Macaca mulatta: one gene and its partners. The main gene of each other region encodes a partner of the protein of the gene in region 2 in a complex. Links are inferred from orthologs where the notes say so. Each region holds a gene or a part of one and is shown on either strand. Other genes may lie near its edges.

What was found.
Region 1: RBM48 (region 2) and CWC27 share a complex: the UniProt entries of both Homo sapiens proteins name them as parts of the minor spliceosome. The link is inferred for Macaca mulatta from reciprocal best matches to the Homo sapiens genes RBM48 and CWC27.
Region 3: RBM48 (region 2) and CRNKL1 share a complex: the UniProt entries of both Homo sapiens proteins name them as parts of the minor spliceosome. The link is inferred for Macaca mulatta from reciprocal best matches to the Homo sapiens genes RBM48 and CRNKL1.
Region 4: RBM48 (region 2) and SNRPD3 share a complex: the UniProt entries of both Homo sapiens proteins name them as parts of the minor spliceosome. The link is inferred for Macaca mulatta from reciprocal best matches to the Homo sapiens genes RBM48 and SNRPD3.
Region 5: RBM48 (region 2) and CWC22 share a complex: the UniProt entries of both Homo sapiens proteins name them as parts of the minor spliceosome. The link is inferred for Macaca mulatta from reciprocal best matches to the Homo sapiens genes RBM48 and CWC22.
Region 6: RBM48 (region 2) and CRIPT share a complex: the UniProt entries of both Homo sapiens proteins name them as parts of the minor spliceosome. The link is inferred for Macaca mulatta from reciprocal best matches to the Homo sapiens genes RBM48 and CRIPT.
Region 7: RBM48 (region 2) and BUD13 share a complex: the UniProt entries of both Homo sapiens proteins name them as parts of the minor spliceosome. The link is inferred for Macaca mulatta from reciprocal best matches to the Homo sapiens genes RBM48 and BUD13.

What each region holds. Positions count from the first base shown.
Region 1 is NC_133411.1:72,852,601-72,856,100, reverse strand, and holds part of CWC27 (spliceosome-associated protein CWC27 homolog), read right to left. Parts: intron 3,176-3,500; coding exon 3,096-3,175; intron 2,145-3,095; coding exon 2,111-2,144; intron 1-2,110. UniProt on the Homo sapiens protein: As part of the spliceosome, plays a role in pre-mRNA splicing. Probable inactive PPIase with no peptidyl-prolyl cis-trans isomerase activity. As a component of the minor spliceosome, involved in the splicing of U12-type introns in pre-mRNAs.
Region 2 is NC_133408.1:126,862,844-126,867,107, forward strand, and holds the start of RBM48 (RNA-binding protein 48), read right to left. Parts: upstream 2,801-4,264; 5' UTR 2,771-2,800; coding exon 2,660-2,770; intron 2,107-2,659; coding exon 1,916-2,106; intron 1-1,915. Other genes in the region: peroxisomal ATPase PEX1, read left to right, coding at 3,150-3,278. UniProt on the Homo sapiens protein: As a component of the minor spliceosome, involved in the splicing of U12-type introns in pre-mRNAs.
Region 3 is NC_133415.1:63,975,942-63,979,441, forward strand, and holds part of CRNKL1 (crooked neck-like protein 1), read left to right. Parts: intron 1-324; coding exon 325-416; intron 417-1,241; coding exon 1,242-1,400; intron 1,401-1,805; coding exon 1,806-1,972; intron 1,973-3,500. UniProt on the Homo sapiens protein: Involved in pre-mRNA splicing process. As a component of the minor spliceosome, involved in the splicing of U12-type introns in pre-mRNAs.
Region 4 is NC_133415.1:28,770,555-28,774,663, forward strand, and holds the start of SNRPD3 (small nuclear ribonucleoprotein Sm D3), read right to left. Parts: upstream 2,801-4,109; 5' UTR 2,783-2,800; coding exon 2,657-2,782; intron 1-2,656. UniProt on the Homo sapiens protein: Plays a role in pre-mRNA splicing as a core component of the spliceosomal U1, U2, U4 and U5 small nuclear ribonucleoproteins (snRNPs), the building blocks of the spliceosome.
Region 5 is NC_133417.1:84,939,753-84,944,049, forward strand, and holds the start of CWC22 (pre-mRNA-splicing factor CWC22 homolog), read right to left. Parts: upstream 2,801-4,297; 5' UTR 2,761-2,800; intron 1-2,760. UniProt on the Homo sapiens protein: Required for pre-mRNA splicing as component of the spliceosome. As a component of the minor spliceosome, involved in the splicing of U12-type introns in pre-mRNAs. Promotes exon-junction complex (EJC) assembly.
Region 6 is NC_133418.1:78,216,525-78,220,670, forward strand, and holds the start of CRIPT (cysteine-rich PDZ-binding protein), read right to left. Parts: upstream 2,801-4,146; 5' UTR 2,723-2,800; coding exon 2,707-2,722; intron 1,240-2,706; coding exon 1,174-1,239; intron 381-1,173; coding exon 326-380; intron 1-325. UniProt on the Homo sapiens protein: As a component of the minor spliceosome, involved in the splicing of U12-type introns in pre-mRNAs. Involved in the cytoskeletal anchoring of DLG4 in excitatory synapses.
Region 7 is NC_133419.1:117,431,531-117,435,030, forward strand, and holds part of BUD13 (BUD13 homolog), read right to left. Parts: intron 3,333-3,500; coding exon 3,227-3,332; intron 2,578-3,226; coding exon 2,439-2,577; intron 2,117-2,438; coding exon 1,932-2,116; intron 1,381-1,931; coding exon 1,299-1,380; intron 1-1,298. UniProt on the Homo sapiens protein: Involved in pre-mRNA splicing as component of the activated spliceosome. As a component of the minor spliceosome, involved in the splicing of U12-type introns in pre-mRNAs.

The DNA of each region.
Region 1 (3,500 bases), on a different chromosome or scaffold from region 2:
ACTCCATGAGGGCTAAAATTCTGGCCTGTTTTGCTTACTGTTGTATCTTCAACTCCTAGAATGGTACCCAGCATTAACAGAGGGAGGAATGAAGGGAAGAAAGAGGGGAGAGAAGAAGGAAGAAATAACCCCAAGTAGATCATTTTTATTTCGTGATTCTTTCTTTGATCTGGTGAGTCGTAGTGAAAGCAGGATTCTTAATTTGAGACTTGTGGACCCCTAAAGCAGTGGTCCTCAAAGTCTGGTCTTTAGATGGTATTACATAGTTGTTTATTAACACCTGAAATTCTAGTCCTCATTGCAGACTTATTGAACCAAAATCTCTGGGGGCAGAAATTATGAATGTTTTCAACAAGATGTTTAAGCACTAAAAGTTGACAACCACCAACCTAGGCCTTCCATGCTCAGGCCTCAGGAGATCTGAAAAAAATTCCCGGCAAATTCATATAATTTTGGTTGTGAATGTAGGATATTTTCCTGGGAAAGGATCTACAGTTTTAGTCACCCACCCATGATATTAAGAGCAAATTTATACTTTTACATTCTATCCTATACATTGATCCTATCTTCTAGACCCATATTATGTTACACAGATGTCTCCAAATTACTTCAATCTTGAAATGTATAAAATTAAGCTCATTACTTTTCATCCTTCTCTCCATCTCAACCCTATGCTTTCTTTTGTACCCATCTAACAAGTTGCCCAAACCAGAGACCTTGTGGTTGTCTTGGACTACTCCTCCCTCACCTCATAGTATGGAATCAGTCACCTCCTAGACCTCTTTCAAATCTACCTCTTTCCCATCTCACAGCTGTGGTCTTATATCAAGCTCTCCTCCTGCAATAGCTTCCCAGTGGCTGTCCTTGACATCAGTCTGTTTCCTCTAATTTGTCCTCTATAATATCACCAACGGTGATCTTCCTGAAATGCAAAATTGATCACAGCATCCTTCTTTTTAACAAACACCCTTCAACTGTTCCTCACTTCCTTTTGAGAAAAAATTCAAACTCCTCACCACGGCCTATGAAGCTCTGTAATGAAGCTCTGGCCTGTCACCACATCCTGTTCACGTTGGCCTGCTTGCAGCTCTTAGAACACACCAAACTCTCCTGCTTCGGACTATTTTGTATATGCAGTTCCCCTTACCTTCAATAATCTTCTTCCTTGCTCTTCACAAGACAGACTCCTTGAAACTTTAAATCTCTGTTTGTATTTCCTAAATAAGGTATAATCTCTCCTTATTTCCATGCTTTAGTATATGCTGTTCTCTGAGCTAGAGGGACCCTACCCTTCACCACTTTCTTTTCTGACTTATCTAACTCCTAACTCTCATGTAAGACATAAACACCATCATCTCTTCCAGGAAGGTTTTCTTGACAAGGTCAGATATTCATCCTCTCTCTATCTCCTACTGATAGCCAGAGAGAGCCTTCTCTTTTGACTGTGATAATAGATAAATCTGTGTTCATGCATGGAAAGTTATGTACTTCCTAGTAAATTATATAATGCACAGATTAATGGATTTTTATATACAAAGTGGCATATGTATAATTTGCAAAACTTGACTCTTATGTATTAAAGGAAAATCTTCCTTCTGTTTTGTTAGCTTTATTACCCAACACAACTAACAAAGATCACTACAGTCTTGAATGAGAATCTTTTGAAATGTGTATATAAAAAGGGGACACTACTATAAATGACTGATCAAAGCATTTCCCATGTATCATGTAGGATGCCCACACACCAACACTTAAACTTTTAACACAATAAAATTATAACATCTCAAGTTTGAGTATTAATGTAATGTTATGTGAAGGGGAGAAAAAAACAGACTAGAAATTCATATATAAGATTCTAATGTTGTAGAGAGATATATAAACACACTCACGCACACCCCTAGAGTAAGGAAATATTCTAATACCTAAATGGATAATTTCTATTTTTCATATTTTTCCAAAATTTGACATATATAACTATAAAAGTTATACATTATACTATACTATAAAAAGTAATGCACATTACTTTTTAAGAACAAAATTAAGTCTTTGTAAAAATTTTGTACTTTCTATGAATTGTTCAAACTATATTTATACCAAAATAAATACTTACATCATCTAAATCTCCCGCTGCATCACCTTTTTCACTATAAAAAAATAAGCAAAACAAATTTTAGTTTCAAGGTAAAACTAATACAATTATTTTGTAAACCAAAAATCTAGAATAGTTTGCTGGGAATAACATTCCAAAAATGTATTTCAACATAGGAATTTAAGAAGGGCATTATAGAACAGATGGAAACACTCTTTATAAGTGGAACAAGTATGATTCATTAGCAAATATATGCGTTCACTAGAATTTGAAAGAAAAAAAGCAAACAACAACCAACAGTGCTATTTTTATGAACAATGGTCTGCAAAGAACAATTTCTTCTATTGGCTTGAAGTATTCTCGCTAAAAAACCCCAAATCCTTCAAATAAAAGGATATTAAGAAAAGATTGTCCTAAAACAGGAGTTTCAAAAATGAGCTAAACTGAGTACAACAGCATTGTAGTGCCCCTTGAGATAATGGCCCAGTTTATCTTGTGCAATCACATCTAACACCAAGACATCTTCCCTTCTCAAAGAGAAGAACAAAGGTAGCAAGACAACTTTCTGTTAACTCCTCAAAGTATGTGAGAATTTACAGTCAGCGGACTGGCCCCCACACTGGTAATTTCTTCACAAAAACCTTCAACTTGAATTTGTTCATTCATGATACAATTAAGGCAAACATGCTTCAAGAAAAACAGCAAAACAACCTTGAATTAAACATTAAACTGTTAAAGCAAACAGTTTCCAGTCCTAACACGTAATGGTAAAACAATCTTAAATGTAACTTACTCAACAGAGGTAGAGAGCAAGTGCAAAAGTGACTAGAGTGTTTCTCTCTATCAAGCTTGAAGTTCTCTATCTCTGTTATCAAAATGCGTTATTTTTTTGGTTGGTTTTGAAATTTTTGATTTATGAGTACTGACTGTTTACTCACAGAGGAAGCAAGAAAATTATCTGACCCAGAAAATTAAGAACTTAGGATCACACCAACAATGGACTAACCTTTCTACAACTGGAACAGAACTGAGATGTGGATCATCCTTAAGCAAGTCATGACTACTTTTGCTTTTGCCCTTCATGCTCTGGAAAGAATGTACAATATAATCATGAGGGGGGAAATAAACAGTATTCCTAAATGACGAGTTAACAAATTTACATAAAACCTAGCAATGATATAATATGGTTAGCAAAAGACGTATCCCTGAAAGGTTCAATACAAACTAAAGTTTTATAAGTAAGAATCTTACTCTTCTATTGACTGAAAATAGTATTTTAAAAACATCTTTTCTTTAAAAAATATCATTAAAAAGAAGTCTGCTGAATTACCAACTTGAAGCACTAAATTCTCATCATAATTTGTATGCAATGAAACTAGTTCATTTTTATGACCCCTATAACTTAGAAGCT
Region 2 (4,264 bases):
CCTGAGAAAACCACACATGACCCAGTAAAATCAAGTGCTTTTGTGGTAGATTATGATTTCTACTGATAGCACATGAAAGAAAATATGAATTGTAACAGCCAGAGAAGGATGGGTCTCAGAGCAGATTAGTGAGGAGAACAGAGATCAACATAAAAATAGATAAGGCATTGCATACTTCAGCCTTTTTGGAGCAGAGGGTTTATGTCACATAGAAGGCCGGAAAACACTGAGTCAATTTGCAGAAAGGAGTAACAGTAGAAACCACAATAGCTAATGCTTACTGTATTCTGACCAGGAGGCACTCTGCTAAACCCTTTATATGGATTATCTCATTTCATCCTCATACAACCTCAAGAAGTAGATAGGTCCCTTTACCATATAGATTTTACGGAACAGGAAAAACTTAAACAGGTTAAATAACTTGTCCAAGATCACAAAGCTAGTAAGCAGTGGAAATGGAAAACTTACTCCAAACCCAACATTTTTTTTTCTTTTGAGACATAGTCTCACTCCATCACCCAAGATGGAGTGCAGTGGTCCATAAATGACTCACTGCAACCTCCACCTCCTGGGCTCAACTGATTCTCCCACCTCAGCCTCCCAAGTAGCTGGGACTACAGGAATGCACTACCACGCCCACCTTGATTTTTGTATTTTTAGCAGAGGTGAGGTTTTGCCATGTTGGCCAGTCGGGTCTCGAACTCCTGGGCTCAAGCTGTCTGCCCACCTTGGCCTTCCATAGTGCTGGGATCAAATTCAACTTTTTTTTCTTTTCTTTTCTTTTTTTCTGGGACAGTCTCACTCTTTCCAGGCTGGAGTGCAATGGCATGATCTTGGCTCACTGCAACCTCTACTTTCTGGGTTCAAGTGATCCTTGTGCCTCAGCCTCCCCAGGAGCTGGGATTAAAGGCTTGCACCAACACAGCTAATTTTTGTATTTAGTAGAGTCAGGGTTTCACCATGTTGGCCAGACTGGTCTTGAACTCCTGACCTCAGGTGATCCGCCTACCTCCACCTCCCAAACTGCTGGGATTACAGGTGTGAGCCACATGCCTGGCGCCAAACCCAAATTTTTTCTGTTTTTTTTTTTTTTTTTTGAGACAGAGCCTCGCTCTGTCATCCAGGCTGGAGTGCAGTGGTGTGATTTCTGCTCACTGCAATCTCCACCTCCCGGGTTCAAGCGATTCCCATGCCTCAGCCACCTGAGTAGCTGGGACTACGGGTCTGCACCACCACACCCAGCTAATTTTTGTATTTTTAGTAGAGCCGGGGTTTCCATCATGTTGGCCAGGCTGGTCTTGAACCCCTGACCTCAAGTGATCTGCCTGCCTCGGTCTCCCAAAGTACTCTGATTACAGGCGTGAGGCGTGAGTTATTGGCGCCCAGCCCTCAAACCCATTTTTTTTTTCTTTGAGGCGGAGATCCCCTCTTGTTGCCCTGGCTGGAGTGCAATGGCGCAATCTCGGCTCACTGCAACCTCTGCCTCCTGGGTTCAAGCAATTCTCCTGCCTCAGCCTCCTGAGTAGCTGGGATTACAGGTATGCGCCACTAGACCCGGCTAATTTTGTATTTTTAGTAGAGACGGGGTTTCACCATGTTGGCCAGGCTGGTCTCAAACTCCTCACCTCGTGATCCGCCTGCCTCGGCCTCCCAGAGTGCTGTGATTGCAGGCGTAAGCCACCGTGCCTGGCCAAACCCAACTTTTACTCTACCACGCTACAGGACATTAAATTGTTAAGCATGGGATGTGATGGATACAGTGTTTCAGTAAAGTTAACCTGTAAAAAGGCTGTAGGAAGATATGCTAGATTACATTTTGGGGTAATTCAGATATGAATGAGGGAAACTTGGGGCCAAAATGACAGAAATATGAATGGAGGAAATGAAACGAGTCATTGCTTAACTTGCACCTTACCTTGCACTTTGTAAGTTCATAAATTTAATAAGATAAACTTCAGTAAAGTCTTCTGCTGGGTATTCATCTAGCGCATTGTACTGTTCAATTGCACCATATAAAGCGAATCGCTCAACTAATTCCTTCATGACTCCCACAGCAGGAACTCCTTGTATTAATAAGTACTGAGATTCCAAATTGATTGTATATACCTGAAAGAAATGCATAGTTATTAAACGTATTTCGCAAATAAGCCTAGGACGAATCTGCCTCTATTTTTTTTTTTAAACAGAACTTTGAAAACAAGAAATAATCTGTTCAACCCAGTCAGCAAAAAACACAAAATAAAATTTCTGCCATTCCCTCTGCATAAAGAGTAACAGTCCATGTGAGAGGCTACCTAAGGCATATAACAGACTACCTTCAGTCGACATTTTTTTCCAGAAATTGAGTCGGCAGAAGTCACTGGGAACAATCACTCAACGAATATTCACTGAGCGCTTACCTGTGCCAAGTAGTACTGTAAACACTGAAGATCCAATGACTAAAACCAAGCCCTATTCTCGTGGAGTTGATGTTCTAATAGTTGACCAAAAGGGTCGTGAGAATCTTTGGTACCTGGCCCAGGGTTCTTCACGCCAGCTCTAATGAGCGACAGATCTGACGGAAGCCTTGTCGTGCCTTTATTTCCGTAGGTTAGCCATATGGCGCTAGCGCTCACAAAAAGCTACCGAGGAGAGCGAATGAAACCAAAAATCACTTTACCTTGACAGCACGAGGCCGTCGTCCCTCCCGATATTTGGCCCGCGTGTCGCACACCGCCCTCTGGACGTGGTGGTCAAATAAACTCCCTAACTCCCCACCGCTGGACGCCATCTTGCCTACTTTGATCCTCGCAGGGAGGACAACATCCGCCCTGCTGACCTCCCTTTTATCCAATAAGAGAGCGGGATGAGTTAAGGAGTGTCAGGATTGGCTGAAGAATCGACAGCGTCGGCCATCGTTTCCTGCGTGCGAGGATTTGATGAACGAGGTGCCGCCCCCGAGCGGCTTGGCGGAGAGGCGCGGTGGGTGACAGAAGCTTTCTTGTCCCACCCCACTACAGGCTTACGGCGAGACGCGCAGCGGGGAGAGGGGGCGGGGCCTCAGGGGGCGGGGCCGATCGATCTCCTCCGGTTCCGACGTCCTCGGCCTGCCAGGTCCCGTGTCCTTTGCGGCGCTAGGGTGGGCAAACCCAGAGCGACGCTTCGGGACGATGTGGGGCAGCGATCGCCTGGCGGGTGCTGGGGGAGGCGGGGCGGCAGTGACTGTGGCCTTCACCAACGCTCGCGACTGCTTCCTCCACCTGCCGCGGGGTCTCGTGGCCCAGCTGCACCTGCTGCAGGTAACGTGCTGGCCCCGGGCCACCTGATCTTCAGCCTGGGGTCGGACAAGGCCGAAGCCTCTCAGGGACGCGGCGGGACACCGGCTGCCACCCGGGCGCCCCCGAAGCGTACAGAGATTAGGGTCCCTCGACGGCAGGGCCCTTCTGGTTAGTCTCTGCATCCCGCAAGTCCAGTGCAGCCCTGGGCTCGTCTTATCCCAGGTCTTTTCACTTGGTGAAACTGGGCCTAGAAATGTCCTAATATTCTACCACTGTTTTTATAAATATTCCTCATTCCAGGCTGGAAAAGTTCCTGATAAGTGGTTTGTTTTTGTTATTTTAAAAGGTGCTTTTCTTGCCAGTCATTTCCAGTTACCTGCGCTGCTGCCGTCCGGGCCGCGAGAGGGAGGCGCAGAGTTGTTGGTGGAGCCCCTGTCGGTCCCCGGGGACTGAGCACCGCGTCCCATGAGCGGGAAAGCTTAATACAGTAATGGTTCTGCCCTGCGTCCCAGACCCTCGGAACACAGCTGTAGTGTGTCAGGAACACATAACGTAGTTAAGATCACTTGAAGCTCTGCGATCAGTCGCCCTTCTGGACGTTGTGGTTGGGATGTTTCGCAGTTCTAACCACCGGTGGAGATACAGCGTCCTTATTTTCGTAATTAAAAATAGAGGCACATGGTCTCACGAGTTTGAGTGTGGTTATGGGGGCAAAAGGACGGCGTATTTGAAATCTTCATAAATCCTGGATGCATGGTACCCACCAGTGGCTAATCTATGTAATGAATAAAGAGTTTGCAATAATTTCAAGCATCCCTTCTTTCCACTTGAGTTACTTCTCCATACCTAGGGGAAGATTTTTTTGGTCCATTGAAAACATGAGTTCAGCAGAATCCTCCTATCATCGTCGTTATTATTTTTTACTACTAAGTAGACAATCTTGGTTTTTGATGGGCTTTATGGTTAGAGACAAATCAGTCACTGTCACCAAGTTCCAGGTAGAAGTT
Region 3 (3,500 bases), on a different chromosome or scaffold from region 2:
GATTTGACCTCTTCACTCTAGAATGTGGGACTGTTTTAAAGCATGAATTCTGTTATATATGAAATTCTGAACGTTACCAGAGGACTTACGGGTAATAGTCAAAATATTTTTTATTAGGGACAAGCATAGACTATTTTAAAGTATCAGTTAGTTGATTGTAACCTTCTGTAGTGGATTTCTTATTCCTCAAGGATTCCAGGATGTAATTTCTCTTAAATATGAACGAAATGAATAACCAGTTTAGTACAAGACTTAAAATAGACCAAGGGTGCTGTCATTTTTAGTCATTTGCCCTTTGACTTGACCCTTTTTGCCTTCTTCCAGACTTTTGAAGATAACATAAGAAAAAACAGGACTGTAATTAGTAACTGGATAAAATACGCACAATGGGAAGAAAGCCTAAAGGAGATTCAGAGGTAAAATTGCTGAAAGTGTAGTTTTGTGTATAATGATTCATAGGTTAACAGATACCAAAAAGAAAAGAAGAAAAAGTTAAAGCACAGATAAAAGATTGTGCCTCGGGTAGAAATTGTCAACTATGGTTCCATGAAACCCTAGGGTTCCCTTGAGGGCCTCAGGAGCACTGGGGTAGAATAGTCCCGGAGGGCGGGGCGGGAGACACTTTACAGATTGATCTTGTCAGCTGTAGCTAAAGTAGCACAATTTCATCTGCTTTCTATATATTGAGATTTTTTTTTTTTTTAATGTTTAGCTGAAAACCAATGGCCAAAAAAATAAAAATTGCAATCTGGCCCTTCCTGTTGTCTCGCTTTCTGCATTCTCCCCTCATACCTCCTTCCCCCGCTGCGCCTGTGTACGTGCCACTCCCTGAATATATCATGTCTCCTTATTGTGAGGCTTGGCTGTTCTCCTCGCCTGGAATGAGCACCCCCTCCACACCAACCTTAGTTTCCTGGTAAATTGGAACTTGCCTCGAGTTCTTGTTTCTAGAGTTACCTACTACTTAGCCTTTTCCACCAGACATTTTCATTTCTTCCTCTCTGCTTCCTGTGCAGATCTTGACTATAACATAAATCACATTGCATTATAATTGCATGCATGTCTTTCTATAAGACTTTGTAAGGTACTTGAGAGCATTATATCTTTTCATCATCTTATGCCCAGAACCTGGCTCGTGGTAGACACCTAATAAAACATCAGGGCATTCCAGATAGTGTGAAATAACCGCTGCATGTGTTGTGTGCACTACTTTTGATGCCCTGCAAATCTTGCTTCTTAAGGGCTCGATCCATATACGAGCGTGCTTTAGATGTAGACTATCGAAATATTACACTCTGGCTGAAATATGCAGAAATGGAGATGAAGAATCGCCAAGTCAACCATGCTCGAAATATCTGGGACCGGGCCATAACAACGCTGCCTCGAGTCAATCAGTTCTGGTAAGTTTCTGATAAAACAGCCTTTTGTAGCCTAGAAAAGTTCCACATTTTCTGTATTTATTTTATTTACATGATGATAGTTTAATTTTACATCCTACTTTTTCTTTAAACATAAATGCTTTTTAATGTCCCATAGTCTGTTAAGTCATAATTGTGATGTTCTACAGCTATGTAATCAAAACTAAAATTTTGGTTGCAATCTTTTGTTCATAAGCTTCTTGTTGAACTAGGCAACTTTTAATAAAAAATCTTTTTTTCCAATGGTTCACCCTTTTTCAGATTTATATTTCAATAACAAAACATGTTCGATTTAACCTTTAAGAAAGATAAAATCTTAAATCTTCCTCCCATTCAACAATGGGAGAACTAAACCACAGCAGATATTTTCGGGTGATTTTGTTAAAGGTACAAGTACACATACATGGAGGAAATGTTGGGAAACATTGCCGGTGCCCGGCAGGTGTTTGAGCGCTGGATGGAGTGGCAGCCTGAGGAGCAAGCCTGGCACTCCTACATCAACTTTGAACTGAGATACAAAGAGGTGGATCGGGCCCGCACCATTTATGAGCGATATATCCTTTGGACGAGAACTGAGTGGTGCCATGATTGTCCTGGGTGCTGCTGCTCCTGTAGAGGTGTCTCATGGTCAGGACACACAGTCATTGACATCAGACTAGAAGTCAAGAATGCCAGTTTATCAGCTTCCCTATGTTTTGTAGGGAAAGAGATTGGTCAGAATGAAAATTTGTGATCTGGGTAATTAGTCTTTTCTAGTGAGAGTTTGGGTTTATTTTATTGTAGTGCTGAAAACTAATGTTTCCTCATGGAAAATGATATTCCTGGGAGATTGTTTCCAGGACATCAAGGAGATGCCAAAATCGGTGATGCTTAAGTCCCTGATATAAAATGATGTAGTATTTGCATGTAACGTATGCATAGCCCCCCATATAATTGAAATAATCTCTAGATTACTTATACCTAATGTAATGTGAATGTTATGTAAATAATTGTTATTCTGTGTATTTTAAGGTATAATAACCAAAAAAACTACATGTTCAGTATAGAAGCACTTTTTTCTCATGAATACTTTATCTCGGGTTGGTTGAATCTACAGATATGGAACCCATGGCTGGAGGACTAACTGTACTAAGGTTCTGGCTGCCCTTGCCAGTCCTGTTTTTCTAAGGTTGGTGTTGGTCATTACTACCGTTACTGGAGTTCATCAAAGGTTTACTGTTTATTGGCTGTGTGGCTCCAGTGAGTCATTTAACTCCTTTGAGTCTTCGTGTCCTCTTCTTAAAAACAAGAATAAAAACACCTTTGTTGGGCTGTTGTGAAGATTAAATGATACACATGAAAGCACTTTTGAAACTGAAGTACAGTCATTCCTCATTATTCACAGATTCCATATTTGCAAAATCACATATTTGCTAAAATTTATTTGTAACCCCAAAAATCAGTAATTGTGGCACTTTCACAGTCATTTGTGGACATGCACACAGCATGAAGTCCAGCAAGGCGAGGCTCTGCCTTCTGGTCTTAACCTCGTATAACCATGCCCAGAGCTTGGAGACAGGAAGGGCCAGTGCCATGTAGTGCAAGGAGCTCCGGCCCTGGGGCCAGTTGGGGAGTTTGAATCTGTCAGTGGGGCAGCCTCAGTCCAATCGCTTAACATTTCTGAATCACTTTTCTTACAAAATAATGAAGATAGAATCTGCTAGGATGAGTTCTTTTTAGGATTTAAGATGATCATGAATGTGAGATTGTATATATACATGTTTCCCCTAGGCACAGTGGTTCAATACTCAATAATTAAGTGTTTGCAGTGACTACATAGAACATAACTACCACAAATAATGAGAATCAACTTTACAATGCAGTATTAAGATCTTTTTATTTTTTTACTCTTCTCTCTTTAGGTGACAGTGTTAAGATCTTAATTATGTCTAGTAATTTTAATATTATTAGTTTGACAAAAGCTTTTATAGTACTTGCTATGTGCCAGGCATTATTCTAAGTACTTTACAAATATTGTGGTTTAATCCTCATAACAACCTTGCAGTGTAGGAACTTCTCCATCCTACAGATGAGGGAGCTGAG
Region 4 (4,109 bases), on a different chromosome or scaffold from region 2:
AAAAAAAAAAAAAAAAAAAAAAGGCAAGCCGGGCATGGTGGCTCACATCTGTAGTCCCAGCACTTTGGGAGGCTGAGACAAGTGGACCACAAGGTCAGGAGTTCGAGACCAGCCTGGCCAATATGGTGAAACCCGTCTCTACTAAAAATACAAAAATTAGCTGACATGGTGGCAGGTGCCTGTAGTCTCAGCTACTTGGGAGGCTGAGGCAGGAGAATCGCTTGAACCTGGAAGGCGGAGGTTGCAGTGAGCCAAGATCGCGCCACTGCACTCCAGCCTGGGCGACAGAGCAAGGCTCCATCTCAAAAAAAAAAAAAAAAAACTTTATTAAAAAAAAAACTTTATGTTAAGAAAAGTCATTAGAGTGGGCCCTATTTCTACATGCCTGGTATCCTTATAAGAAGAGATCTAGACAGAAACACTACAGAGTGAAGACCAAGTGAAGACACAGGGAGAAGAGAGTCATCTATAAGTAAGGAGAGAGGCCTGGAACAGATCCTTCCTTCACATCCCTCAGAAGAAATCAGCCTTGCCAACACCTTGATCTCAGACTTCCAGCCTTCAGATCTAGGAGAAAACAAATTTGTGTTGTCTAAGCTGCCCAATCTGTGAAACTTTGTTATTGGCAGCACTAGCATACAAATACAAGCAGGGAGGCAGGTGGCTGCCCCCCCACCATTGGTCAGGCATGTGACATGCATCTACTCATTTCTTCTGCACTATGGTTCCTTCTGAAGCCAAGGAGCTATTTTTATCCCTGACTTAGAAGAGGGACCAGAGGACGAAGGAGGTCCAAAGCTCACCCCAAGTCACCCTAGGTGGCAGGCTGCAAGCTGATTCCAGGTCTGTCTGACTCCAAGTTCTGTGCACTTTGTGTCACGTGGACTGCATCTCTGAATGGCCACCGAGGTTATCTGGTTAGACACCTTCATGTTATGGATGGGATGACAAAGGCCCTGGAAACCCAGCAGGTTGTCCAAATACATATAGCTAGATGACAAACCCATTAAGATTCACTAACCCAAGTCCTGCATTCTCCTCACCAAATTAAAGTACCTTAAAGTGGATGAGCATGCCTTAAGCCAGAGGTCTGGATATATGAAAGAGAGATGATAAACCTATCTACTGTCAATAGATAAACTGATCTATTGACAATGATGCAATAAACCTGAGTCACCAGAGGTCTACTTCTCTGCATCCAGGGAACTGACCAAGCTTGTCAACCTCGCAGGAAGATGATAGACGCTCAAAGCTACAGAAAAATCACAAATAAATGAATGGCGCAAACCAATAGATGGTCAGGATACCTGACCGTGGTGTAAGACGCTTTACCTCTCTGACCTTCTCATCTGGAAAAAAGCAGTAAACACCATACGTTGAACACTTACAGTATGTGAGGCACCGAGCAGCTATTGCACACATATAGCTCATCTGATCTTTGTAAAAGTCCTGGGGGTGTGGATATTATCCCTGTGGCAGTCTTAAGGGTGTGCTGCTCAGATCTCCCTCCAAAAGAAAACAGGCTATGAGGAGTGAAGGCAGCCGACAATCTCCATCTTTGCAGTCCACCATGGCATTCAACTTGGGGAGAGAGACTGTCTCCCCAGGCTGCCAGCCAATGGAATGAACACACCAGGGGTGCCAGTCTGCCCATTTCTGCCCCATGTTAGATTCTTCTAATGAGCAATCACTGCCTTGCTGAGACTTCCTCAAAACTACACTGTAGTCTAAGGTTCTTCCTGCTCAATCCTCCTTCTTTCCCCTCTCGTTTCACCAGTCAGACCAGCATCACGGACTGAAAATTTCCCTGCCTACTACTGTTTCCTTGTTCCTTTATCCTTTATTGTCATTTCCCCCAATAAATACCTTGCATAATTCTGTCTTGGCATCTACATCAAAGAACCCAAAATAATAACACTCCCGTTTTACAGATGAGAAAACTGAGTGATTAATACATCTAAGGTCATATAATTAGGAATCAAACCCACATCTCTCTCTGACTCCCAAGTCCAAGTTCTTAACCAATGGTTTAAAGAACAAAGAAAGTGTGAAGATACAACTGAAAAACAATGCTATAAAAATTCAGATGACTATGCAAAAGGCAAAGCTGCGCCATGAGAAGGACACCGTATCAAGAAACTACTCCATTATTTACTATCAGAGTGATGAGTCCTTTAATCTCATTCTCCCTATTTTATGGATGACAAGACTACCACCAAACCTGCTTACCTCACAAGGTAGTTGCAATAATCAAATGAGACTCCTCCTCCAAGAGAAAAGGGAAACAAACACAGTATGTGAGAAGATTCTCCTAACTGCAAAGCAAGTGGAGGCAAATGGATAATGGCTCTGAACCTGAAGGATTCTACTGAAGGAACTTCTCCCAAACAGGTCCCCAAATTTGGGGATGGAAAAAACAAAAAAGGCGAAGTAAAATATTCCAAATCTCCAAATGGCTTTTCTGCCTCAAGACTATGTGTTTTGTTCATGCCCACATCCCCAGAGCCTATAACAGCACCTGACTGGTATGTGTTAGGCACTCAGGAAATCACTGCTGAATGAGAACAATTTACAGAAGACCCCCAACCCACACCTTTCTGTCCTTCAAGACACAGGGCCATTCCTCCCACACAGCCTCACATGCAAAGCAGAATACCTGGCAGTTCATGTTGTCCTCTGCTTCAATGAGCTTCCCCCGATATACCTCACCGGTGTTCGTCTCACATGTCACAATGTGGCCCTCGGCCTCGTGCAGCACTTTAATTGGCACACCAATAGACATCTTGGCAGGAAGAGAGCTCTACAGTGAAAGAGACAACAGTCAGTTCATCTTTCAGAGTCTGAGAAGGCATGCGGCACACGTCATGCCTCCTTCAAGGCCTGGCACTCCATAAAACTTAGCAAAAACGCCAAAGCTGCATTTTCTATCAAAGAAAAAGAAAAAAGAAAGCTCAGCTCCTGGCTTGGAGGAAACTATCTGGCAAATATGTGCAAGATGTCGGGTGAGGAGGAATGGTGGGGTGGACAGAAGTAAAAACAGGAATGAAAAGAGAGCATCTCCCATCGACCATGTGTCCCTGCTACCCTATGTCCCTTAATCTTCAGCTAAAGGACCATTAGCGAATACTGTGTGTGTAGGGGAGGGGGATTGGAATGTTAATCTGTTGCACTGTTATTTGTCAACCCTTAATTGTAGATTATTACATTTTGACAATCATAACACAGGCCTGAGCTGTCCAATACAGTAGCTCATGTCCACATGTAGCTATTTAAATTAAACTTAACTAAAACACAATAGAATTAAAATAAAAAACCCAGTCCCTCAATCCCAGTGGCCATATTCCAAGTGCTCAACAGCTACATGTAGCTGGTGGCTACCCTACGGAAGGAGCAGATACAGACCTAAGGACCATGCATATCTAGGAGAGGAGACTGTACTTTTAATGCAGCTCTTTAACCCTTCCCTTACTTTACCATCAAGGATATTGAGAAAATATCAAAGTGACAACGTGCTATATGCAGGAAATGCCCGTCATGGAGGAAAATAAGGGAAAGCACCTGACTTGACCTAATTAAAAGCATCAAGTAGTGAACTTTTTATTGACATGAGCGACGACTCAAAGTTGGAACCTAAGTGCACCTAAGACAGGAGAACATGAGGTTGAAAAGACAGGCTCCTTTGGTGAGGATCCCTGGCTTTCAGCCTTAGGAGCCTAGATTTTATGCTGAAGATAGTGGGGAACCACTGCAAAATTATAGGTAAAGAATGACACAATGAAAAGGTAGCAGCATTTATTTACAAAATGGATCTAACGTAAGGTTTAGAAGCAGAGAAACTTGTTAAAATTTCTGCAACAGTTAAAACTGCTGCAACAGTGTGGAAAGCATGACGGGACCACTGCCTGAAAGGGAGCTGGGGGCAGAGATGCAAAGAACTTTTTAAAAAATGACCGGCTGGGCGCGATGGCTCACGCCCGTAGTCCCAACACTTTTGAAGGACGAAGCCGGTGGATCCCTTGAGCCCAGGAGTTCGAGACCAGCCAGGGTAACATGGTGAAACCGTCTCTACTTTAAAAAAAAAAAAAAAAAAAAAAACCCTCATAGGATTT
Region 5 (4,297 bases), on a different chromosome or scaffold from region 2:
ACCGTGCTGTCTTCTGGGTGGTCTCAGGTACAAGCCACTGTAGGTCATTCAACAATGTTCAATCATGGGGAAGGAGAGTTAACTTCTTTTCTTTTTCTTCTTCTTTTTCTTGAGACAGAGGCTCACTTTATCACCCAAGCTGGAGTGCAGTGGAGTGATCTCGGCTCACCGCAACCTCCGCCTCCAGGTTCAAGTGATTCTCCTGCCTCAGCCACCCGAGTAGCTGGGGCTACAAATGCACAGCACCACACCCTGCTACATATTTTTGTATTTTTAGTAGAGACAGGGTTTCACCATGTTGGCCAGGCTGGTCTCGAACTGCTGATCTCAAGTGATCCGCCTGCCGTGGCCTCCCAAAGTGCTGGGAATGCAGGCATGAGCCATCGCGCCCCAACAGAAGAATTAACTTCTAAAAATTCAACAGCTGGGAAAGCTAATAGAGCTAAGAAAGCTCGCTTAGAAAAACCAGGTAGTCTAGGAAGTGTCAGAACTCCAAAAAGTGATTGGAGGTAATCTATCCAAAGCAGGGAAGGATGTGGTGGCATAATAATAAATACTGGCTGGCCATGGATCAAGTACTTTGGAGCAAGGAGGGAAACAAACCTGATTCTGAGGACAGGGGGAGGATGAACCATAGCATGCCCCTAAAAGATGGGCTAGAGCAGAAGTTTTCAAACTAACTGGCATGAGAATCACTCGAATGCTTTGGCGCAAAAAAAAAAAAAAAAAAAAAAAAAAAAAAAAAAAACTGTTGGGCCTGCATTTCTACGTTTCTGATTCAACAGAACTGGGTGAAGCCCAGTAATTTACATTGCTAATAAGCTTCAAAGAGATGTTGCTGATTCAGGAGACCACATTTTTGGAACCACTAGACCAGGGTATTAGATCAAAGTTCTTGGCCTTTAACTTATAACCAAGACGGTCTCAGAGCCCCAGTCAATTGAGTTGGGTAAGACTCCATAAAAGTGGCATGGACACTTAAAACTAGAAGGGCACTGGCCGAGCGCAGCGGCTCACCCTGTAATCCCAGCACTTTGGGAGGCTGAGGTGGGTGGATCACGAGGTCAGGAGATAGACACCATCCTGGCTAACATGGTGAAACCCCGTCTCTACTAAAAATAAAAAAAATTAGCAGGGCGTAGTGGCTGGCGCCTGTAGTCCCAGCTACTCGGGAGCCTGAGGCAGGAGAATGGTGTGAACTCGAAAGGCGGAGCTTGCAGCGAGCCAAGATCCGCCACTGCACTCCAGCCTGGGCGACAGAGTGAGACTCCGTCTCAAAAAAAAAAAAAAAAACCTGGAAGGACACTTAAAGGTGGAAAGGCAACACTCAGACCCAGAGGGCAAGAACTGAGGCACAGACAGAACTCATCAACTGTATCATAGTAGCAATTTACAATAATACAAAGCTAACACTGTATATCAGGCACTGTGCTCAGTGCCTCATCTGCATTATTTTCTTTATACTCAAAAAAAGACAACACAGTGAGGCAGGTATTGTATTATTACCTACATGTTTTCAGATGATGAAGCTGACTATATATAATAGAGACTTTAACTTGCTCCAAGTGACAGACCTAATAATAGCTAAATAAAACTGAAATCTTTGGTCTACTAGTCCATCACCCAGGACCAACAAAAGTAGCTTTCCTCAACCTACTGATAAGGCCTGTAACAAGGCTTCTCCTCTCCTGGTCAAAACCACACTTTTAATGTCAATTTTAAATCTGCCCTTGCATAGTAGGATAATCTGTGTTAACTCCTGAATTCACAAGCAATCCTACAAGAAGATAAGTCTAAATACGGATAAGAGGTAGGATAACTGATCTGCTGAGGACCCAATTTGTTTATCTGCTATTTCGAGTCTCTGCACATCCAAAAATGCAAAGGAAACTCTTACCTAATTCTTGCATCTAGAATAGCCTTTCTCCAAATCCTGCCTTCTCCAATTACCTCAAAAGAATTGTTAGGATTAAGTGGAAATAGGTATGGTAGTTTTTGCAGTTAAACTCAGTGAAATTAACGATTATATTTCCGTTCTATAATGCTGTGTTACAGGACCCAAAGCTCCTTAGAGAGGTGGAGTCTGGACACCCAAGTTTAGCAGTTATTACCTCATTGGAGATAGTTCAAGTTATGTAAGGATCAAGAATGACAGGTGAAGAGGACACAAGAGAAGCGAAGCGTCTTCAAAACTAAACTCCAGAAACTATCAGTATTTACAGGGCAAATAAATGAAAAAGAAACCGCTAATGAAACGTAAAACAAATAGCCAAAGGGATATAACGCCGGAAAGAGGCATAAGAGTGCAAGTACTTCAACTAACTTTTAATCAACTAGAGCTCATTAATCCCACTCCCCAGGCACTGGGAAAGGGGCTTTGGCAAGCCCAATGGACTCCAGAGGCTCTAAGTATAAAACACACTGCACACGAAACAACAGAGCACCAGCGTTGGTGCAGGACTTCAGACAGCTGCAGGAACCTCACAAGGAAGGTCAGCCGGTCCGCTCAGGCAGTCAGTCAGTTCACCGCAGCCCATTCGCTCCCCACCCGCTTGGACTCCTCGGACCCAGCCACTCTCACACCCCTCTCGCGGGCCCGAGCGTGGCGGGAAGACCCACGCACACTCCAATGCCGCTCACAGCCGTATCAGTGAGCCCGCACCCACTCCTCAGGGTCTTTCACTTCCCACCCAACCCGGCAACCCGCCACCCCCGCTCCGCTTCGGTGCCTACGGGGACTCCGCGGAGTTCGATAATTACCTAAAGCTGCACCGCGCCGCCATTACACCGGATGTACGTCACTTCCTCTTCCCGAGCACCGACAGTAGGAACAAGGCAGATACTGAAATACATAAAAACTTGACGCTCAATTGGCTTGACGCGTTATCCTTTTAATTTATTTCAGATACCATATCATAATGCCAGAGTCAAAGCAGTCGATCCAGGCACACTGTATTCTTATCAAAATGGCGACTAAAAAGAAGTTGGCATGAACTACAAAGTCCGAAATCCAGCACCTGTGCTGACGGAAATGACGAAAGCATAATTGTAGTTTAGCGGTGAAATGGCGCGGTGTACGATGGGAATTGTAGTTCATACAGATGCGCGCCAGCGAGTTAACATCCACGCTGCTGACTGGCAGCCTAGCAGTGTTTAGGGTCTAGGCAAATTTACTTTAATCTAAAAGTATTTCACTGCATTTTGGGAATTTTTTTTTTTTTTTAGTAGTCAGTTGTCACTTTCCTTGAAAATCTTAAGTGAGAGATTTTCTTGAGACTTTTTTTTATAAGAGTTTGACCAAGAGTCAAGTGCCTAATAAATTCCAAGACATCCAAGCCAAGAGAATGGGAGAATATTAGATCATAAATAGAGTGAAATAATGAGGAAAAAATAATTCTGTAGAGACTATGTTGCCTGTCTTTTAAGTTAAGGTACCAACTGGTATGACCTGAGAATAAGGAGATTGCCTGGCTGAGTAGGAAGTAGCAGTTTGTACAGCATACAGAACTAGGGCATCAAACAAATTGTTTCTTTAAACTTCACTTTTCACTAGTAACAAAACGTAAAAGTTCAACTACTTACTATTTTGGAAACTCTCTTTCTAAAACAAGAATATCTTTATGTTATCAAATCTTTCATAAACCAGGCCTGATTTCTCCACACACTTCTCTATTACAGTTTTAGGGTGCTGTGCTTCCACTCCTTTCTGGAGGCAAAGTGTGAGAATTAAGAATAAAAACACTGCAGTTGGACTACTTACGTTTGAATCTTGAGTCCTTTGATTATTTATGGATGATTGGGGCAAGTAACTTCACATTCTGTGGCCGTTTCCTGATCTGTTAAATGGAAATACTAGTAGTACCCATTCATGCAGTAGTTGTAAGAATTGAATTAGTTGATTCACAAGATACGTTTAAGATAATTGCTAGTATACAATAGTGTTATCTATTTTATTTCATATTTAAGATATTTGGCCATTGTTGATGGTGCACTTTGGTGTACCAATACAGGGCACAGGAGATGGATCTGGAGATGAACATTTGTATTTATATATTTAAAAACCCACAATACTATCTGTGATGGTTAATTCTGAATATCAACTTGATTGGATTGAAGGATGCAAAGTATTGATCCTGGGTGTGTCTGTGAGGGTGTTGCCAAACTGTTGACAACTGTTTGTTGTCAAACAGTTGAGTCAGTGGACTGGGGAAGACAGACCCACCCTCAATCTGGTGGGAACAATCTAATCAGGTACCAGCGAATATAAAGCGGGCAGAAAAACGTGAAAAGGCGAAAC
Region 6 (4,146 bases), on a different chromosome or scaffold from region 2:
AGGTTTGACTCCAAAGCTTACCATCTTTCCACATTTCCCTGCTGTCTCTGATTCATAGGATAATTAAGAAGGAGATAAAATACAAGTCATGTTTTCTGGTGAAACTGTAAGAGAATAACACTAATATCTTCATATATTGATACAGCCAAGGAGGAATAAGGTAAAACCAGCAGGATTGTAACAGATAGCTTGGTTCTGAGTGCTATGAACCACCTACCTTTATGTTTTATTGCAAATGGAATGATGCACATCAAATTCACTCCAGCAGACTTAATACTAAAAGAAAGGAAATTTATATGATCTGTCTATGGATGCTCTTACCCACCTTGCTTTTTTTGAAGTCAAAGCTTTATTTTCATTCAGCTTTCTCCCACCACTTTCTGTATCAGAATAAAAGATATTTTAGTGGGTTATTTCTATACATTTAACATAAAACATTAAGAAGTTCATTCTTTGACTTTCTACCAAAATAGTAGTCTGTATCTAATTTTTAAATCCTCATTTAGTAGGCTATTAAGACACTGCTTAAAAAGAAAACATTTATTAGGGAAACAGTAAAAATTTGTATAAAATACAATCATTTTATTTCTCAGACTCAAGGGAGTACTTTAGGAATGGGTCTATATTTACTCTATATAGTGTAAAATCTAGAAGCCACTACTTCAGTGTCATAGACCTTCAATATAATGAAAATGTTTATTTGTCTACGCTTTGAAAACATACTTTACTATATGTATTTAATAATAATGAAGGTAAATACTTCATTATAAAGATTTAATGATAATGAAGGTAAAATGGGTTAAAGCATTTATTTATTCAAGAATATAAAAATCAGAAGATTTAAAAAAATTTCTCCTCAGAAGAGTGGGGAAATTAAAAACAGACTCTAAATAAGCTGAATCAAATCAAATACTGTGATAATCAAATACTGTGATATTGTCACCACTTGACAATCATTTAATAATTTTGCTATCTCCTGATATTGGGAACCCATACAAGTAACTGAGAACTAAATAAAAGATATTAAATCACTTGGGGACCCAGTATTCTTTAACATTTAATAGATAAAATACTTTGAACATACAACATTTCATTGTACAAATAATGTAAAAGCTAAAATATAATTCACAGTAAGTATTTGGTTAAATTCCTATTTTCTAAAAGAAGAAATACCTGTGGTATTCCTAGCACCATCTTTCCATGTATCTGGAGTGATAACAGTACCAAGTTTCTTTTCACCTGTTAGAACAAGATAGTAAAAGGAAAATTAAAATTTACTATTTCATAAGTGCATTACATTGTGCCTAAGGCTCACAATGGTATCGACTATCAATGCTATTACCATAGGAGCCTGTTAATGCTGAGAAAGCAGCCAGTCAACTGAGACTCATATTAACTGTGGGCAATGAATGACTGACCGTCGGTAAAATTCGCAGGATAATAAGATGGCTTATAATAAGCTTTCACTGTTTGTTTATACTTTTAAAAAATCCAATAAGTCTATTTGTTCCATAAATATTTACTAAGCATCTATGATGTATAAACTATACAAAGTGCTGAGAAAAAGTGATGAATCAGACAAAATTTTAATGAGATTATAGTATACTAATTTCTTTAACAGCAATCTGTAACCTGGGTTCCCCAGGTGGATCTTAAGAGATATGTGAACAAGGTGGAGTTGTACACAAACCTTTTATATTTTCAGTTTTTTTTCCTGGCAAGAGGCTACAGTTTTCATCAGATTCTCAGAGGGATCAGAGACCGTCCCCCCAAAAAGAACCATTCAAACAAAATGTAAGCTAAAAAATAAAAGATATAATAATTGAGAACTAAAGTACTGGGAGAAATTCCAGGCAGGAAAAAATAACCCTGGCTAAGGAAATCCAAGAAAACAAAGTTTGGAGAGAAGGCAAGAGAGAGGATTTGAATATGTGGCAACAGGACTGTGAACAAAAAGGAGTAAAGAGGATGAACGCAAACTAGATAAAGGACACATTCTGAGGAAAGGCATAGAAAGCTTAGAGTACACATGGGCACAAAGAGTATTTTGTTTGGTCAAAGTGTGAAGAGGATGAGGGTCAGTGAAAATGAAGCTGGAAAAATAAGTTGGCGCCTTAGTGTGGAGGGTACTGAACGTCAGGTTCCAAATATAGAATCCCCAAATTATTCTCTGCACACTGAGAGTTTATTAAAGGATTTAAATTAGGGAAATAATAATTTGCACTTACGTTGATGTTCAATTCAAACATCTCTGGGTTTACTCTACGCCATATCCTGGCATAATGACTAATGAGAATGAATAAGGCAAAGTCCTAAGTCTTTGGTTCCAGTGTTTAACATTTGGCAGGAGTACAATACTTGTTACACGAATAAAAAGGAAAGGACAGGAATTGCCAAGAGGGAAAGGTGTCGCTGGGGTTTAACTGAACATTTTTATATGGGAGGGGAGCCGATGAGATCTGGGGCTGGGGGAAGGCAATGGAAATAGAGAGGGAGGTGCAGAACTGAGACCATTCTGAGTACAAAATACATAGGACTGTATGGTCGTTGGGGAGGTGCAAAAATGGTCAAAGGGTAGGGTAGAAAGACAGCGGCTAGAATCAGAGACCTGTGGGCGAAAAAAACAAAGAGAAGGCAAAGTTCCCGGGAGGGCTCAGTTAGATTATCCCAGCCTCCTCCTCCCGCAGAAGCAGCCCCTTAACTCACATTTTTCGCACACCATCCTTCCCCACGACAGTTCCCCTAGCCGCAACAGGAGCAGCAGGAGCCTGAAAACATCAACACTGTAACTGGGAAGTATTCCCCTTCCGGGCTACGTCAATCCACTTCCGGCTTCTAAGCCCACCGCTCCCGCCTACCCCAAACCTGGAAAGCCGCGGGAGGAATGAACGCGAGCGGCTAGGTGGGGCTGCCCCATTTGCCCGCCCCTCCCTTTCTGCGACTGGCTGTTCGGCCGTGGGTGTCCGCCCCACAACCCTGCGTCTGCGCGTGGGCCTGGGCCTCCTGTCGTACCTGATGGTGGGAGGCAGTAGTTCCCCGCTTCCCTTCCGCGGGCGGGAAAGTTAGGTAAGCCCCGCTGGACTTCCCAGGCGCTCTCGCCTCCCGGGGTGCAAGCCACCCCCGCGAATTGCCGAAGCAGCCCTGAGCCTCGGCGCCCCGGCCCGCCCGCTCTCGCCGTCAGCTCGAGCGCCACTCTTCCGGCGTGCCCTGATGGACAGACCCCCTTTCGGATCCGAGTTTTTGCCTCTGTCCCCCAGTTTTTCTTTGTCTCCAACTCCCGAGCTCTTTGATCCTGCTTCTCAGCTGGTTCCTCGCTGCCCACGCTCGCGCCGGCCTAGGGTCGGGCAGAATTCCCAGCGACCAGGGTTGGGGTGGAGCTGCCGGTGGAGGTGCGGCGATGCCCGTGAAGGCTCCTCTGGGGGCCGCTCTGAAGAGCCTTCTCTCCGCTGCGGTGCCTGGGGAGGTGGGCCGCGTCATGCCCGTGGCACCCCTGCAGGCGCCCTGGGGGCACGCCAGGGCCTAACACGGTGCTGGTTTCCCAGGAGAGTTGGTTTCCCACTTTGCCTACTTTGGTTCCTTCATTCACTCAGCAAACGGTTGAGTTTGGTAACTGCTCACTGTATTACATCCACATCTGATGGCAGCTGCGATTCCGAGGGTGGCTCAGAAAAATGGCTGAAGGGCTATCTGTTGAGAGAATGGATTCCTGATCCCCTTGCCCTCCCTCAATCAGCTTAAGAGAATCTATGGGAAAGTTTACCTTTGTCCCTTCTTGCCATCCGTTTGCTTCTTCATGCCTAGTGTATTTCCTTAGAGAGAGAGCTGTAGCGCGTGGGACCTTGGACCACCTCACCTGTTTGCCTTGTTTCCTTATCAGTAAAATATCTGCCTTTGAAAAGCACTGGGTGAATTAAATGAGAGCTATTAGGATAAGGCCCAGGTTCGCCCTTCTGCTTTTCGCACTAGCGGGCGCCCCTCCCGCGCGCGCGCCCACGTGTATGTGTGTGTGTGTGTGTGTGTATGTATAGTATTTTTTTTCTGAGATATTTCTATTTTCTGGAATATTCTCCATAGTGTAACATATTGACTGTTACTTTAAATTAATAAAGTCCTTGTTTAACAGTACAATTAACTCTCAGGTAATTT
Region 7 (3,500 bases), on a different chromosome or scaffold from region 2:
AATCCACATCAACAAAAGCTTTCTGAGGTCATCAGTAATTTTTAAGAGTGTAGGCCAGGCATGGTGGCTCAAGCCTGTAATCCCAGCACTTTGGGAAGTTGAGGCAGACGATCATATGAGCCCAGGAATTGAAGACCAGCCTGGCCAACGTGGCAAAAACCCCGTCTCTACTAAAAATACAAAAATTAGCTGGGTATGGTGATGCACACCTGTAATCCCAACTACTCAGGCCGCAGAAGCATGAGAATTGCTTGAACCCGGGAAGTGGAGATCGCACCACTGCACTCCAGCCTGGGCAACAGAGCAAGACTCTGCCTCAACAACAACAAAAAACAAGAGTGGTTGTGCATGGTGGCTCACCTGTAATCCTGTAATCCTGTAAACCTGGAATCCCAGTACTCTGGGAGGCCAAGGTGGACGTATCACCTAAGGTCAGGAGTTCGAGACCAGCCTGGCAACATAGTGAAAACCTGTCTCTACTAAAGATATAAAAAATAGCTGGGCATGGCAGCACGCGCCTGTAATCCCAACTACTCGGGAGGCTGGGGCAGGAGAATCGCTCGAACCCGGGAGGCAGAGGTTGCAGTGAGCTGAGATTGCGCCACTGCATTCCAGCCCAGGCAACAGGGCGAGACTCCATCTCAAAAAAAAAAAAAAAAGAGTGTAAAAGGATCCTGAAATTAAAAAGTTTGAGAATTATTGTGCTAGATACTAAAACAATGTCCTTTAGTAGGCAAGAGGAGATAGAATCTAATACGTAAGTACACGAACTGACTCTGGATGGAAGCAAATATAGTTCATCCATCATAACAGACAGGAAGTTAGAGCATGTGGGTACAGATGCTGGTAGGTAGACAGATGAGGTGGTAGAGGACCGTGAGACATTAAAAGTGACTGCCTCCTAAGACCGTAAAGTGAAGAAAGATTCAGAGGCTACATTTTAAAGACATATCACATAGAAGGCTCCAGACTACGACTCATCACTCGACCCCTCTAAACCTTAGAAAATATCATTAAAAGTAACCAATGTCCAAAACAAAGGGTGTCTTATCTGAACCACCTGAGTTGTTTGTACAGAGCTTTAAAAAGTGTTATGAAAAGGAAACAGAAAGAGGAGTGTTCCAAGCATGAAAAATAGGATTTGTGGACCTCAGAAATAGAAGCAAGCAAAGTGCATATTTTTCACCTTGTGATTAAAGCAGAGAATGAAATAAAGTGTGGAGCAACTTACGAGTGGTTAGGGAAGGTTACAGTCAGGTAGAAGAGAAAATAAAAACCTAAGAAATACCCAGGCTTACCTGTCCACTCCATCCCAGCGATATCCGGGCCAGATATTAAATCTGTTGGGAGGAGGTGCTGGACCACTGTAGCGAGGTCTCACTAAAGAGAGGAGTAAGAAAAAAGTATTTAGTTAACGACATAATTTAATTCAGAGCTGGATGGCAATGTGGGAATTTTTTATTATTATTATTATTTTTTTAATAGAGTCTCACTCTGTTGCCCAGGCTGGAGTACAGTGGCACAATCTCGGCTTACTGCAACCTCTGCCTCCTGGGTTCAAGCGATTCTCGTACCTTAGCCTCCTAAGTAGCTGGGATTACAAGCGTGCACCACCACGTCCAGCTAATTTTTTTTTGTATTTTTAGTAGAGATGGGGTTTCACAATGGCCAGGCTGGTCTCCAACTCCTGACCTCAGGTGATTCACCCACCTCAGCCTCCCAAAGTGCTGGGATTACAAGCATGAGCCACCGTGCCTGGCCCGGAAAAATTTTCACATAGAAAGACCAGTTGAGTTGAATCTAAACTCACAAATACAATGAATTTAAATTATTTGGGAAATCCTTCCTTGCATACAGCTATGTATCAGAATCCTAATGATTCTCTCTCTTCACAAGTCACCTCCAGCTCTGATGATTCCCAGAAGTCCCACCTTTTTTATTCTTGTTCTCCTTGGCCTTATTCTTCTTGATGAAGTCGGCCATGGGGTCCCCCTCTCTTTCTTGTTCTCTTAGCATCCTATCCAGATCTTCGTCATCAATATAGCGGGCCAGAGGCTTTTGCATCTCTTTCACTGCATCCTCCACATTTTGTTGCTGTTGCCGGCTCTGGGCAAGCCTGGGCAAAAAAGAACCAAGAGTGTTTGCTATCCTGTATGACATTTCCACTTCTACACAAGATGGACCATACTGCTAAATTTGGAGACTCTCCTCTTTCTAGTAGTACCCTAGGGCAAATACTGAGCAGGGTAAAATTCCCAGAATATCCACTGGAAGTGTGGAATATATCAATATCCTAGGAAGAAGATTCAGCACACCAAATTTCCCATTACTGATAACAGCTCTGAAGGCATAATAAGAAAGTGAGTGATCAAGAAGAGCAGAGAAATGACTTGTTCCAGTCACTGCCATCTTGTTTACCCTTTCAGTGGTTCCCTTACCCTTTTCCCCACTGGGCATACAGCTCATCTCTCTCTGAGTCCTTTTCTGCTTTCCTCCTTTGCTCTAAACGTTCCAGTTTCAAATTCCTCTTACGACCAGACTTATCTCGAAATACGGTTTCAGCATATTGAAATTCAGCTGCAAAGGAAAATTATACTCAAATATCAGGATCAAAATCAGAAATAACATTCTAAGAGATCAAATCAACCACTTGGGATTCTAATGCTGGATAAGAACTTCTGCAGCCAGACCAAAGTAGTTCCTACCAACATCTAGGTGCATATTGGCACTGGGCCCGAGAAATGGCATTTTTCTTTTTTTTTTTTTTTGATATGGAGTCTCGCTCTGTTGCCAAGGCTGGAGTGCAGTGGCGCGATCTTGGCTCACCGCAACCTCCATCTCCCGGGTTCAAGCGATTCTCCTGTCTCAGCTTCCTGAGTAGCTGGGATTACAGGCATGCAACACCACGTCTGGCTAGTTTTTTTCTATTTTTAGTAGAGACGGGGTTTCATCATGTTAGCCAGGCTGGTCTCGAACTACAGACCTCAGCTGATCCACCCGCCTCGGACTACCAAATTGCTGGAATTACAATGAGTCACCACGCCTGGGCGAAATGGCATTTTTCAAGAAGGAAAGAAACACTGGGACTCACTGAGAAATTACAACCATGCATAAAACCAGAGCTGAAATTTGATAGCAATTAAAAGTTTAAAATACCAGGTACAATAAGCTAAATTTAAAAAAAAAAAATGAGCCTGGATTGGTCTCTGCACTTTCATATTTTTACCTTCAAATGCCATGGTTTCTTGATCCTGTTTCTTGAGCTCCTGCTGTTCTCGCTGTATGTCAGTTAACACCAACCCAGTTTTAGCCCCAGAATACATGTGTGCAGCCTATGCAATGGAAAAGGGAGCATCCAACATTAATGAGATGATGTGGCAGTAGGCTCCACGGGTACACAGTTAGTTGCATTTGTGTCTGATGACCAGCAATAATTAAACCTCAAACTCTAGCTTTATATTCTCATTAATTACCATAGGATTCAAAAACTATAAAAGAAA